Neodiprion lecontei: one gene and its partners. The protein of the gene in region 4 purifies or fractionates together with the protein of the main gene of each other region. This does not show direct contact. Links are inferred from orthologs where the notes say so. Each region holds a gene or a part of one and is shown on either strand. Other genes may lie near its edges.

The links.
Region 1: the proteins of proteasome assembly chaperone 2 (region 4) and proteasome subunit alpha type-4 purify together in Homo sapiens (affinity purification with mass spectrometry; 4 studies listed by BioGRID and IntAct, with this or other methods). This does not show direct contact. The link is inferred for Neodiprion lecontei from reciprocal best matches to the Homo sapiens genes PSMG2 and PSMA4.
Region 2: the proteins of proteasome assembly chaperone 2 (region 4) and proteasome maturation protein purify together in Homo sapiens (co-immunoprecipitation; 6 studies listed by BioGRID and IntAct, counting the BioPlex papers as one, with this or other methods). This does not show direct contact. The link is inferred for Neodiprion lecontei from reciprocal best matches to the Homo sapiens genes PSMG2 and POMP.
Region 3: the proteins of proteasome assembly chaperone 2 (region 4) and proteasome assembly chaperone 4 purify together in Homo sapiens (affinity purification with mass spectrometry; 3 studies listed by BioGRID and IntAct, counting the BioPlex papers as one, with this or other methods). This does not show direct contact. The link is inferred for Neodiprion lecontei from reciprocal best matches to the Homo sapiens genes PSMG2 and PSMG4.

The regions. Positions count from the first base shown.
Region 1 is NC_060264.1:7,960,657-7,964,505, reverse strand, and holds proteasome subunit alpha type-4, read right to left. Parts: upstream 2,111-3,849; 5' UTR 1,980-2,110; coding exon 1,977-1,979; intron 1,609-1,976; coding exon 981-1,608; intron 825-980; coding exon 682-824; 3' UTR 547-681; downstream 1-546. Other genes in the region: endoplasmic reticulum metallopeptidase 1, read left to right, coding at 1-36. UniProt on the Homo sapiens protein: Component of the 20S core proteasome complex involved in the proteolytic degradation of most intracellular proteins. This complex plays numerous essential roles within the cell by associating with different regulatory particles.
Region 2 is NC_060265.1:6,326,039-6,329,575, reverse strand, and holds proteasome maturation protein, read right to left. Parts: upstream 1,894-3,537; 5' UTR 1,739-1,893; coding exon 1,736-1,738; intron 1,373-1,735; coding exon 1,275-1,372; intron 1,145-1,274; coding exon 1,084-1,144; intron 1,004-1,083; coding exon 828-1,003; intron 717-827; coding exon 629-716; 3' UTR 530-628; downstream 1-529. Other genes in the region: 2-oxo-4-hydroxy-4-carboxy-5-ureidoimidazoline decarboxylase, read left to right, coding at 1-33, 119-305. UniProt on the Homo sapiens protein: Molecular chaperone essential for the assembly of standard proteasomes and immunoproteasomes. Degraded after completion of proteasome maturation. Mediates the association of 20S preproteasome with the endoplasmic reticulum.
Region 3 is NC_060260.1:21,227,639-21,230,251, forward strand, and holds proteasome assembly chaperone 4, read right to left. Parts: upstream 983-2,613; coding exon 590-982; downstream 1-589. UniProt on the Homo sapiens protein: Chaperone protein which promotes assembly of the 20S proteasome.
Region 4 is NC_060265.1:30,903,095-30,906,624, reverse strand, and holds proteasome assembly chaperone 2, read right to left. Parts: upstream 1,690-3,530; 5' UTR 1,505-1,689; coding exon 1,172-1,504; intron 1,110-1,171; coding exon 687-1,109; 3' UTR 589-686; downstream 1-588. Other genes in the region: translocon-associated protein subunit delta, read left to right, coding at 81-341; spermine oxidase, read left to right, coding at 2,279-2,438, 2,626-2,890, 3,089-3,302, 3,438-3,530. UniProt on the Homo sapiens protein: Chaperone protein which promotes assembly of the 20S proteasome as part of a heterodimer with PSMG1.

The DNA of each region.
Region 1 (3,849 bases), on a different chromosome or scaffold from region 4:
CATTGGTCATCAACTTACAAATCTTACATTTTTTAGAGAAAAGAAAGTTTTATTTTAGTTACTGGTTTTTTTATTTAACTGGGGCCTGAGAACACAACTCAAATATAGTTTAATTAACTAGAAGTACACGACTTGACATGAAGCTTTAAACTTAACTTGAAAAGACAAGACTTTATTGTGATTTCGGGACAACTTTTCCGGAATAGAGAAGGTCGTGATAGCTCAGTACGTGAGAAATTTCAGTGTTAATGGTAAGAGATATGATTGTTTCATACCAGTATAAATGTGAGTCTGTATGCCGGATATTTAGTCTGAATCAAAGGTTTAGGGGATGCAACCACCACATAACATTAAAAAGTTTTGACACTATCTTTTGATAGGATCAGTCCCCATTCCTGTTAAATAGGACGAATGTTACATCGCTAGATAGATTCTCAAAAAGATGCTGAATTACCTTGTTATTCTCAAAAGACGTTACGAAGAATGAATGAACGACTGTTATAAGCACGACGTGTAGCAACGTGTACAATTATAAGAGAAAAGGAATGCTTTTTGTAATTCATTTTTATTCGAAATGTAAGCTATTTATCACTTACGCCAGATGCTCATGTTCACTTAAGCAAATAATCATTATTCATTATGAATTAATAAGTAATAAAAATTCGATAGTTTGTTGATATTTTACAGTTTTTGCTTTTCCTTCTTTGCCTGTTCAGCAATTGCTTCTAGTCGATCGTGTTCAGCAATCAATGCCTCCACTTCAGATGCTGGTAGAATACGGGTCTTTGTTTTTCCATCTTCGCGAGTTAGAGTTGCCATCTCAACTACAACAATGATACAATAATGGAGAATGAGCAGTTTTTGCTCCCTCCACCGATCCAAATAGGTACTTATTCTTTATAAAAAATTAGGTAACATCGTTAAATATACTATTTAGATACAAGTTTGGAAAATTGGACAATTAAGAATCTTCAACTGACCTTTGTCAGAGGAGAGTTTAGTCATATCTAGAGTTTTTGAGAGAACTTTAATCGCAAGAGCCATCGCATCTTTCAGAGTAGTTTCTCCCTCCTGATATTCCTGTTTAAGAGAAGATACAGCTGCTGCCGAATTGTTACCAATACAGGTAGCTTTCCACCCGCTGTAATTGCCACTAGGATCTGACTGGTAGAGCTGATATCCGTAATGCCGATCCCAGCCCATGTAGAGTATGGAAACTCCGAACGGTCTTTTACCTCCGTACTGAGTGTAAGCTTGTTTGACATCACAAAGCCAAGAAACCAGTTGCTCACAAGGAATGGCTTCACCGTATTGAAGAAGATATCTTTGACCGATTAAGCGGAGCTCGTTAGTGAGAACGTTTGCATCAGACGTAACTCCAGCAACGGAGCAAACCATATCCTCATTTAGTTTATAGATTTTTTCTGAGAAAAATACTTCATCCAACAGCTTGTTGGTGTTCCTTCTTTCTGCGGCTAGTAAGATTCCGTCATTGGCCAGAATTCCTAAACAAGTACCAGCGTGACTTATAGCTTCCATTGCATATTCCACCTGGTATAGCCGACCCTCTGGCGAGAATATAGTTGTCCTGGTATCATACCGGCGAGCCTGATCAGAAAATCAAGAAATTGTTAAGAATGAATTAAGTTTGTACGTTCTGAGTTTTGGATTACAGTCGGCATGACGATGCGTCAATTAGTCGCATTGTTGCCACGGTTTATTTTCGCCTAGTAGCCTTTTCTCAATTAGAAGGGTGAATATTTTCGTAACAATTAATACTGAGTTGGATATATCTGGAGCTATGGGAAATTTTTATTAGAATTAGATGGGATAATTGTATGGATGACAATGCATCAATAGAGGTATTCTAACCTATTTCTGTTCAGAGTACAGAAGTTTACATTATTTAATTAATTAGAAAATAAGTCTATAGTCGTTTGCGGGTACTTTGATGAAATGAATAATTTTATGCTCACCATTTTGTCAAACTTATTCAAAACTACCAAAAAGTGTAGCAATTAAATGAGAGTAACACACTGAAAATCAAGTTTGACGGCCGGCCCAAAACTCACAGGCAACTCTGAATTATACATAAACTATACGATACGGAGATTTGTGTTTGAATCAAGCTTTCATAATTTGTAGCTAGATGGCAGTAGTATCGGAGTCCACTCGATCGCCTCCATTTTGACCGCCATTTTCTAACGAACCGAATTGCGGAAAATTTTAAACACATGTAAGTACGTAGAAACGTTAATGTTAATGTTGACATATTCGTCGACTGAAGAATATTCTTCAGTCAACGGTAGCGCTATCCATTCGAAAGAAGAAGAAATTTGAATGCATACGACGAACGCTCCGACGTCATTGGATTATTCTCAGGGAATATCCACGGCTGCAAAGGAATACGCCATCTGTTTTTACCAACTTACTAAATCAAAAAATCAACCGCAGGTACAGACATTTGCGACAAATACAAATCTGAAGTGCCCTATTTGTTCTGCATCACATGCAATCTATATTTGCTCAACCTTCCACAAATTATCAATAGAAGAATGCGTAAGGACTGTTGCACACGCGAATCTTTGTTACAATTGCCTCTCTCAGGGTCACAATACTAGCGATTGTAAATCGGAAAACAGTTGCCATAAATACAACAAGCGTCATCATAGCTTTCTGCACAAACAATTCAAGAGGACTCAGGCAGTCACAGCAGGGAGTCCGTTTACAAATGCCGACAACCATGCAGCCCAAGACTATAATATACGCCCGCGACAGAGTCCTTATGACTTGAGCAGGTAGAAAATCCAAACGGGAAATCGCAACTCATTACGTTAGTCACCAATTCAAGTACAAAAGTGACCTTATCACCGCGGTCATCGAAGTGCTTAATCAACACAACCAGCCTGTACGAAGCCGCACCCTCATTATTACTTGCAAAACCATTAATTTTATAACCGAAGGCATGGGGAATATTTTGGGTTTAGAAAGGTCTGCTGTACCCCGGTCGGCGCTCTCAAAATACTTTCGACGATGCCTAAAAGTATAAGTTCCAAAACCGTAAACGGACCCTTTTGCTGTAGATTCATTTTGTACCGTAAGCAATATCCAATGATTCGTTGTAATATATAGAGAGAGCTCATCGATTGATTATTCGACTGATACAAAAAACAACACTTTCGAGAGAAATTAATGAGCTCAATCAAACGAGACCACTCGCTGCGAAGAGTAAACTCTTACGTGTCAATCCATTTGTCGAAAAGGAAGGAATTCTACGAGTTTGGAGGTAGGCTTCTCAACGCTATAATGTCATTCAATGAGAGACACTCGATTGCACTATCGAAGAATCATCACGTTATCTCATTGATTATCTAAAACGAGCATCGCATACACTTTCACGCAGGAGTACAGGCAACCTTGTACGCCGTTTGCAGCCAAGTATGGAAGGTTATCAGACCCTGTGTCAAGTACTGTAGGGCAAAGTCACACCCTTGAAATATTATTAGATGATTCGTCGAAAAGTGCAACGGGCTACCGGACTAATAACGGTAATTTTGCCATGCACCTGTACGAACATACGATGATCCAGTTGCTCGACCGTACGCTAAATGTACGGTCCTGAAAAAATTCTAGGAATTTAAGTAATTGTTTGGCTAGCCTCTGATAGTGCAAAAGGATCAAGTACGGAAGTGTAAAGAAATTGTCCCAGTAATTTAGATTTCTGATTATCTGTTTTCAATCATTGCTTTAAAAATCAAGAAAATAACGTTTTCTCCAATGACTGCTTCGTCTGATTGAAAAATTCGCCCATCTTCATCGTTAGTTTGAAATATTCTTGAACGTAAAAAA
Region 2 (3,537 bases), about 25 Mb from region 4:
AGAAAAACAAACGTTAGCGAATCTCAATGCCATGTGAGTAAAAACGCCAATTTTAAAATATCTTGTTCAGTTGCTACACGAGGGAAAAAAAAGGTCGATACGTTGTTTGAAATTTCAGGTACAAGGAAAAATTTCACTTTCCATTTGTCATATGTGCCCGGGAAAATAAAGTGGCAGCGATTCTGAGCGGCATAGAAAATCGTTTGAACAATTCTCCCGAGACGGAACTTGAGGTCGGGATTCAAGAAGTCAAAAAGATATGCAGGATTCGCCTGCTAGACGTCGTCTGGTCGGATGCTCGATAAATTTGTTAAAGTAATTTGTTCACTTGTCTCATACACATGGACAATTTTTACTTTTTCTGCTCGGAGATAATATGCGGATTAAAAATCTTACATACATGTAACGTGATTAATTGATATTTATTCTTAAGTATCTGCGTAAGCCACTGTTCGACAATTTGACGAAATTTTTTAATCATGCAAACGAGGATTCATTCGTAAATATCAAATAAAAAGAAATGCACAGATATTGAAAAAAGTATTCATTAATTGCCTTTGCCATTGAGCACAATAACAGAGTGCAAATTATGATATTACAAGCTTAAAAATAAGGATCCAATCGATGTTTAGAGAATTCCCAAACTCTTTTCAACCATCGCGTGAGGCTGACACATTTGTTCCCTAAATTCAGCGTTGTTGAAGATGTCTTCGAATCTGTGAATTGTAAAATTAATGTCGTCACTTGTTTGACGCAAGATAAAATTCCATTCAGATCCAAAGCTGCGTTGTTTTTGGTCCGTGATCCACAGTCATCAGAGCTCTTACCCAATTTCTTCGTCTCTACCAAGAATAACATCCCGCATGAGGCCAGAAGATGGAAGAAACGGTAGTCTCCCAACTTTGTCAGCGGCTTTGAGCTCCATGGCTAGACGCATTGGCGCGTGAAGTCCTTGCGTGTTTCTCAGCATAACCATATCCATGCGCAATTTATTCTGCACATACTGGAGATCAGAATAAAAAGATGTGAAAACTGTAAATGCCTTAGTATAAAGAAGCAATAGTCAGTCTGACTACGACTTACGTTTTGCTCGGAGGCTTGCAGAGGATGTGAAAATCCAAGATTTGCTCTTGTTGAAGATAGCCTGTGCAATTAAATTTCATTCAACTATTCTCCTTCTTTTTGAGAAAGTTGTTATACGGCGAAAAGCGAATACTGATGAAAATCAACCAATGGAACAATGACAAATATCTTTATACTTGATTGTGACTTACCCTGAAACAAGTGCATTTGGAACACCATGCGTGTCGTCGGGGATGCTGATTATATCTGCAGCCGAGGGCTTGGGTTTCACGGAAGGTAGACCAAAACTCTGAGCGGAAAAGTGTGAGCAGAAATTTGTTGATTTGCTGTTGAAGGATAATTTCGCCTAACCTAATTCGTAACTATGGACGTTTTAAATGACAGAAAAATGCGAATCGTGAAATGAAACAGGCGGCTAGATTTCTTATTAACGATATATTCACATAGGATCACAGCGTATTAAACAAAGCTTCAGTACTTATTCATCGATGTAGAAAAGATGCACTTGTCATTAATACGAGGGTAAACATAACCTTAATAAAAATATTGCAAATGTCACGTTCGAGAAATTCGACGAACTGGCCGAATAATCACGTGGAGAAAAATATTAAAGTATCGCAAATATATAATAAAATGATGGAGTTAGTCTTACCATATTGAATTACTTTTCAAACAGCTTCTGGGGTTGCTTATTTAATAATATTTCGTTCGCTCGTGACTTGACGAAGAGCCGCGGTGAAATATAACACGCTATACACGAGCACTGATCGCGAAATGAGCGGTAATGGTGTGAAGTTAGCTGAGTTGAGGCGTGAAAACGCCCTCTGGCAACAAACTTTTGAAACTCATTTGCCGAGATTCGTGGTGGTAAGTAAAAACCATTGTCAACAACTAACCTTTATTTACAATCACGAACTTAGCTGACAATGCAAATTACATTTGCCACATAATGAATTGCTACTATTCGAGATTTATATTTCTGACTATAAATACGATTTTCGTGTGACGTTCGCAAAATTGACGCGCTAAAGGCGCGATTGATTCGCGTGAATTAATCGCAGCTCTGGACAAAAAATTCACATACAAATGTACTGCACCTTAAATGACCAGAAAATAACTTTAGAATTTTTTTTACCTTCTATAGGTCGTTCCATTCATTAGACGCAGCTTTCGTACGTGCATCTTTTCAGACCTGACGTTGAAGAGGCATACGAGTTTCACTGGAAGAAAAATAGAACAGAACATTTATTCACGCATTTTAATTTTAATAACTGCAGATACGCAGGATATAGAATACTAATCACATAAGCGTGAGAACTGAATATGTGCTGCATATTTTTTCAAATCTAATGATCGGTTCATTTTTCATATTATGTTCGAAAATTGATTGATCGAATTACATAATTCAGATCACCATTAACAGATGTCAAAAGTTCTAAATCGATTCAAAACTTACTATATTTTTCACACCAAGAGATTATCCTGAAAGTTCGCAGTTGCTCACCGCCGACTCGGCACTACTCAAATTCGTCGTTTGTTTCTCGCAGGCTGGCCATCCCATCTTTAATTTCAAACTGTGAAAGGCCGTAAAATGATTGCATCGACGACGACGACGATTATATTTTGACAGGAAATGCCTCGTAAATAAAACGGAAACATAATCGTCGACATTTTTGTTTTGACAGGGAATTCCCCGTAAATAAAATGACAATGTAATCGTCGTCGTCATCGATGCAATCATTTTACGGCTTTTCACAGTTTGAAATTAAAGATGGGATGGCCAGCCTGCGATAAACAAACTGAAAACTTGAGTGGTGCGAACAGAGAGTTCGTGACCAACTGTGAACTTTCAAGATAATCTCTTGGCATACCTGATACATGAGTATACCAATAACATTCGGCAATTTGTAAATGGTCGCCTCTTGCGTTTTTGCATGACAATTATTTCGTAATGATAGAATGCGCAGTATAAATATAGAATTAGAACGTTGCAGGAAAATGCGATAAGATGAGGAATGAAGAATCGTATACTGACAATGAGTATCGACTTGCAGCAAGAAGTTCGGAAGAATCCAATTTTAGATAAAACTGTCACTTGCGGTGCCGTGGTTTGTCTATGCACGGTTCACTGCCCGAGTGCCGTACTCACTAGTAAGAAGTGGGCTAGCAATTGGCAGAGAGTCATTTAGTACAAGGCTTCACCGCACCGAGCGTACTTTATGTTCGGTTCTCTTAAATATTATTATTCATTAGATTCAAATAACAGACAGGGAGGGAGAGTCCTCTCAGAGAAATACTCACAAAGCAATCCTGAAACAAACTGGGATTTTCTATCACAGCTTCGTCGTTTTTCAGCCATATATCAAAGATACCCTGATTTACAGGCCGGTAGATAGAAAAAGGCGTTCTTGAGAAGCTTGAACACAACGAACTATTAAACGGCATCTTACATTT
Region 3 (2,613 bases), on a different chromosome or scaffold from region 4:
ACGAGTGACATATTCTTACACGGTTTGTACATAGAATCTGCCAGGCCTGAGAAAGTTTAAAATAAGTGAGTTAAAGTAAGCTGATTAAAAAACAACGCACAAGTGAAAAATATATATATGGTATTCACTGTTTAAGCAACACTTTGGTTTACATGTTAAAAGATAATCAGAAAACGACGAAATATGCTTGAAATTGAGCTTATATAACCAAACGAAATTTTAAATACAAACGAAGGTGTATGTATTTTATTTCTAGGATTCATTACAACTTTTATCAATTTTCACATACATCACTGATTGCAAATTGAGACACGATTGCAAATCAATTGAGATGACTACCAAACTTGTTATAATAGAATTATTTCAGACAAACCAAGAATAAGTATGAATGATATTTTAGGAACGGTAAACATGTTATTAGAAGATGGTCGATTTCCAAACTAAATGAGAATTATTGTTCAACATTTCACTTCCGAAAGTCTTTATTGTATCATGGATTTTTATCAGATACCATATAACCACTTGATTTACCCAAGTAGTGGCATGATAGAATTTGAGAATTAGTACTGGAAGATATTGATCAGTTGCTTTATTTCTCAAGAAGGGCAAGGCTATTGCTTATTTCCTGTGAAAGTTTCTTTTCTATTGCTGGTATCGACAACTTGTCAGCCTTGATGTTGAAGCTAATATAAACTGGTTTCCCCAGTTTCGTTGCCAGTCTTGCAGCCATGTTGATGGATGTCGAATCAATAGCAGATCCCATCAGCTTTGTGGAAATTGGTACCTTCTCGTAATCAGAGATCAAAGCTAGGGAAAGGTCGTTCATTACGCTGTCGACAATATCACCAACCCAAATATAGTAGCTGTCTTTCATTTTTATCATCTGACAGCTTATTTTGATGTCACCAACTATAGTCAAGATATTGTGGCATTTAAAACTACACGTCACTAATTCAGGGTCAATGTTTTTCGGTTCGGCCATTGTCCTATCCATCCGTGAAAAAATGTAATATTTCGAAGTACAGAAACTGCTTTTTTACAGAAAATTAACCCAGAGGGCACGATGAGACAAACTAAAAAATAAAGAACCTATTTCGAAACGTGTGCTAGCGCATGTAGAGCATTTCGGAACGTTCGGAAAATGTACTGGAACGTTATATGCCAAGTTAACGAAGGACTTGTCAACAACAATGACACGTCACAAGTCTATAAGGTTAGATTCGACGGTCATGGGTTATGTTATGTTTATTGAGATTGAGTTTGTTTCGCGCTCCGCCAACTATGGCGCTATAGGTTTCTCTCACGGTGCAAGGTCCCTAGATTAGACAAGTAAAGACACGCGTGGGCAAAAAAATTAATGAGGATGCGCCAAAAGTTTCGTATGACAATGGATGCTTCCATTTACCTCCGTGAAGTTGGCCCCCCGAAGTTATTATTTTTAAATCTAATTAATGCAATTCGTTTGAGAATCGTTTGAGAGGGTTTGAGAGTAAAGAAAAATCGTTTGAGAGTTAGTAGTTTTTCCGGAAAATTGATTTTAATTTTGGGTGTGAAGTGGGCCCCCATATTTTCTATCTCCTCAAAAAATGGACTTAGACGTTTAATTTTTTTTTAATCTTTTGAGAATCGTTTGAGAGGATTTGAGAGTGGAAAAAAACTGTTAGAGAGTTAATATTTTAATTGATATTCCATAATTATTGAGTGATTGATTTCCCCATGATTTCCCCTAGTTTCCGAGTGCTTCCGGCCTGCGCCATGGATATGCGCGGTGTACGTGCGCAGTGTATCTAAAATCAGCTGGAGGCTGGTCGTGAGTGTTCTGCGCCGAAGAAACTGGCGTTTCTGTTTCATCGTGTCTTCTCCAGTAACAAAATCAATTAATCCTTCAAAAAATTGAGCAACATTCCAACGAGAGCAATAATGTTCAAAGAGCGAAAGAACTTTTGGAATAAAGTCGTGTAATAAATTTATCCGACGTTTTTTCAATGATCTTGCCAAACATCGTCGAGTTGTGAACAAATATTGAAGCTTGTGGGAATTCAGGGGTTATAAACACAGGGAAACGATACGTGATATGGTGAGAACTAAAAAAAATAACGTTTCGAGCACGGTCCAAGATTTGAAAGATCTGAGAACACAAAAATCTTGGGATAGACGAACAGGAACATCGCTGACATATATTATAAGCCCATCGACATTCCACGTTTCTCCCAATTATGAGTGCATTATTCCTTATCTGCAAGTAAATATTAATTTTGGCGTTCTATAAAAGATTTCACTTTCTGTTGCACTGCGTTAAAAAGATTTCGCCAAGTTTCCCGTTTTCGACGCTCGTGTCTTTTTCCAATAGTTTCATTCAATTTTTCTCTTACCATTGGTGTCATTGAGAGAAAATTGCTCAGCTTCGTCTCCATGTCCATCTCGTACCCGTTCGATTTACGATAATCCGCATCCTCGAAACTCGTATTTCTTCGTCAATCTCGGTCGCTACAGCTGATTTCAGATGCACTGCGCAGACATGTTGTGCATATACAGTGCGCACACACAATGCGCACACCGGAAGTGCTCTAATCCTAGGGGAAATCGCACATTGAATAATTATTTAATATCAAT
Region 4 (3,530 bases):
AAATATCAACTTTTTTTATAGCTCTATCAAATATCTTGGCAAAAGTTATTTATCACCATTCTGTTTGTTTGGTACTATAGGTCAGCTGGACGGAGGATATAAAGAAAGCTAGATCAGGAGATTACAATGTTAATCTGTACGATGAAGAAGGGTACAGTGCCCTTCGCAAAGCAATTAGAAACGGAGAAGATCCGAGCAGTGTGAAACCTCTAGCTGTTGTTGTCCTCAACAACCCAGGTGCTTACCTTGGACCATGGATAAACTCTGAACTCTTAGCTGCATTCTTAGCTGCATTTGTTACATACACAGCATTCTCTGCCAAATGGAAGCTGTTATCGTAAACTAAGTAATTACAATTTAAGTCATGAATGATATTTTTAACTGCCTCCGGCTTCACTATTTATACTAAACCGTTAATTGGATTCAAATAGTTTTGTAAAATATCAATGTATCCAATATCGAACGATCAATCAATGATTCTCCTGGAGAACCAAAACTGTGACTGAATAAAATTCATTACTTTATCAATTCTAATCCCTAGCTTCTACGTTGTTCACTTTTACATAGGCGAATAAACAGGAAATACAATTACAATTTAGCTGATAATAATTTTTTATTAAGAATTTAATGAACATGATTCATTGATATAAACAAAAAAAAAAAACTCATGATAATTAATATCATATTCAGAACATTTCGAGTGGAGGATCATTGCCAAATAAGAATCTCCAAGACGAAGGTTTTCTGATTAATAAATTACCAGAGGCGTCCTTTGAGAAAAGTTCTAGCCACTGATTTAAGTAGTTAGCTAACTCCATTGCATCTGGGATGTTGTCTCCTTCTGAACAAAATCTGAGTAAGACCGCACAAGGAATATGGTTCTCGACAAAGATATCATATAGGTTTTTGGCAAAACCTCCACCTGGGATTGCAAGGACTTCGCTCCTGCCATATTCATCAATTTTACTTTCTAGATGTGTCCAGTTCAGGCTGTCGAACATTGCACCAAATTCTGATTTTATTTCCGGAGATGCAATGTAACGTAACGGAATGGTTCTGATCTGTTGATCTCGTTTTTCATGGGAGTAGCTGCTGGTCAATATGATGACCTATGATTGAAAATACGTCGATTGAATTTGTTACAAATATGTAATGTGACCAAAAATCTTACCTTGGCAACGTGTTTTTCTGTGATGAAGTTCTGCAGCTTTTTAAAGAATAGAAAGGGCTTCTTGGACAGTGGTGATCTTATTTGAATTAGTAGAACTCTTTTATCTGTGCTACAAAATAAATCAACGGCTGTGCAAAGGGCTGACGAATTTTCGTCGTACGGATCAGGGCCAACTATAGGTATGAATGCAGAATCCCAAACATAACCTATTCTCTTTGCGCTAAGGCTCGATATAAAAAGATCAACAGCCAATTGTCCAACATTTCCTACAGCTACTGAAGGAATAATGAGCGTGTATCCCGTCAAATCAATATCTTCTGTAAGTTTTATCATCTTCCCTTATAGAATTAACCTTCTGTTTAGTAAACATAAGCTGTACGTTAGACAAACCGTAATGACAAGCTGGATTCAGCTTACATCGACTGTACCATAGCTTACCTAACACACGTAGAATGTTGAACTGGATGTTGGATCTCACGTGCTAGTGATGTTTCAGAACGCACGTACCGAAAAGGATTTTCGTGCCTGTTCTCGCAAACAGTTATTGTCGTTCTACTTACATCATTTTTTTTTTCTTTGAAAAAATAGATGTAAGAAAGTTAAAGTCAAAAATGTATCAGCGTTACCAGGTTACAAAATCTCCACAATCTGGAGACTGATACCGCTCAAGCAATTTCATTATATATATCCTATTCTTTCATTCCATACGCCCGTTGAAATGTTGGATACACTTCGGACGCCCAAGCTTAACTCGTTTCGAAACATTGCGAAATATCACCCGTGCGCAATCAAATTTCGGAATACGCTCATTATACGCTCACTATAAGCCACTGATATATACATACTATATTATATGATATAATTGATAGTGCTAAAAATGACGCGACGACGATATCTTTCTATTGCTTGTGTTTGTTTTATCACCATTCCAAGTTTTGACCCTATTAATCCTGACAGCAATCTAGCCAGATAGAGAACTAGTCAGCCAACACATCAGTTTTACCGTTGTAGTTGGAAACCTCCAGTAAACTCCGAAAGTAGTATACAAAGTCTATCCATTTCCAATAAAGTGGTGTTTAAGATATTGGCCACGCTACTTGCCGAAAAATGTTTAAAGATGTGCAAGTTTTAATTGTTGGAGCCGGCGCTGCTGGTATCGCCGCGGCATGCCGTCTGCTGGAGCAAGGTTTTCAAAATGTCAGAGTTTTTGAAGCCGGAGATCGAATCGGAGGGCGCGTACATACCGTAGAATTCGGTGCGTACATTGGCTGTGTTTCAACTAACGACTAATTTTTTCCATTGTATATTCATTTAAATAACTATTCATGCCAAGCTAACAATAAGTGCAGCTTATAATGAATTAGAGCAGTTATGAAACTAATCAAGTGATAACAGCTAGAAGAGGCCTGATGGACCTTTATTAATAATACATATGTTTTCCTTTACTATGGTAGCTGATAACGTGGTAGAGCTAGGAGCTGAATATGTGCACGGTGAGCGTGGAAATATATCCTATGAATTGGCATCTCGCCACAATCTTTTGGAGGGATCTAACCTTCTGACCAATACTGAAAAGTGGATGTTTGCTGATTCTCAAGGAGAAATCATACCTAGAGAACAAAGTACTGAGCTACTGAATATATATCATGAAATCTACACAGTTATGCCAAACAAGATAACAGATTTCGAGGGGTCATTCGGAGAATATTTCACACAAGAGTTAGTATCATAACTTCTAGAGTAGTTGAATGTTCGATTAAGTTTTCATTAAAAAGTACAGGGTTCTCTCTTCGTTACAAGTTTTTCAAGTTTTGTGTAAGGTGCTGGTAATTCTTTCACTTGTTCTCTTTTAAAATCACATAACTGAAATAGTCTATAAGTTCTTGCCTATGTTTATCTTATAAATTCTACTTTCAGGTATTACAAGGCATTCAAGGAAAATCCATTTACAAATTTCACCAGGGCAGAAGAATTTTTGGAGTGGATATGCAAGTATGAATCTATCATAGAATCTTGCGATTCGTGGTCCGAAGTTTCTGCATCCGGACTTGCCGAGTATTGGACATGTGAAGGGAATCCATTGCTTAATTGGAAAGGCAGGGGATATAAAACTCTGTTTGAAGTTTTAATGGTAATGATTTCAGAATGAGATTCAATAACATTTTCCATCATTGAATCAGTACAAAATAGAATCTCAATTTTATTCGGTATTCTCAGGTACTTGCAAAATCCTAACAACAATTATTTTTTTCCTTGCGACTTACAGAACAAGTTTACACCAGCGGCAAGTGAGCTACCACTTCTGGAAAAAGTGGACTTCAAGAAAGTAGTTTCAAGTATTGACTATAGCAGTAAAAAT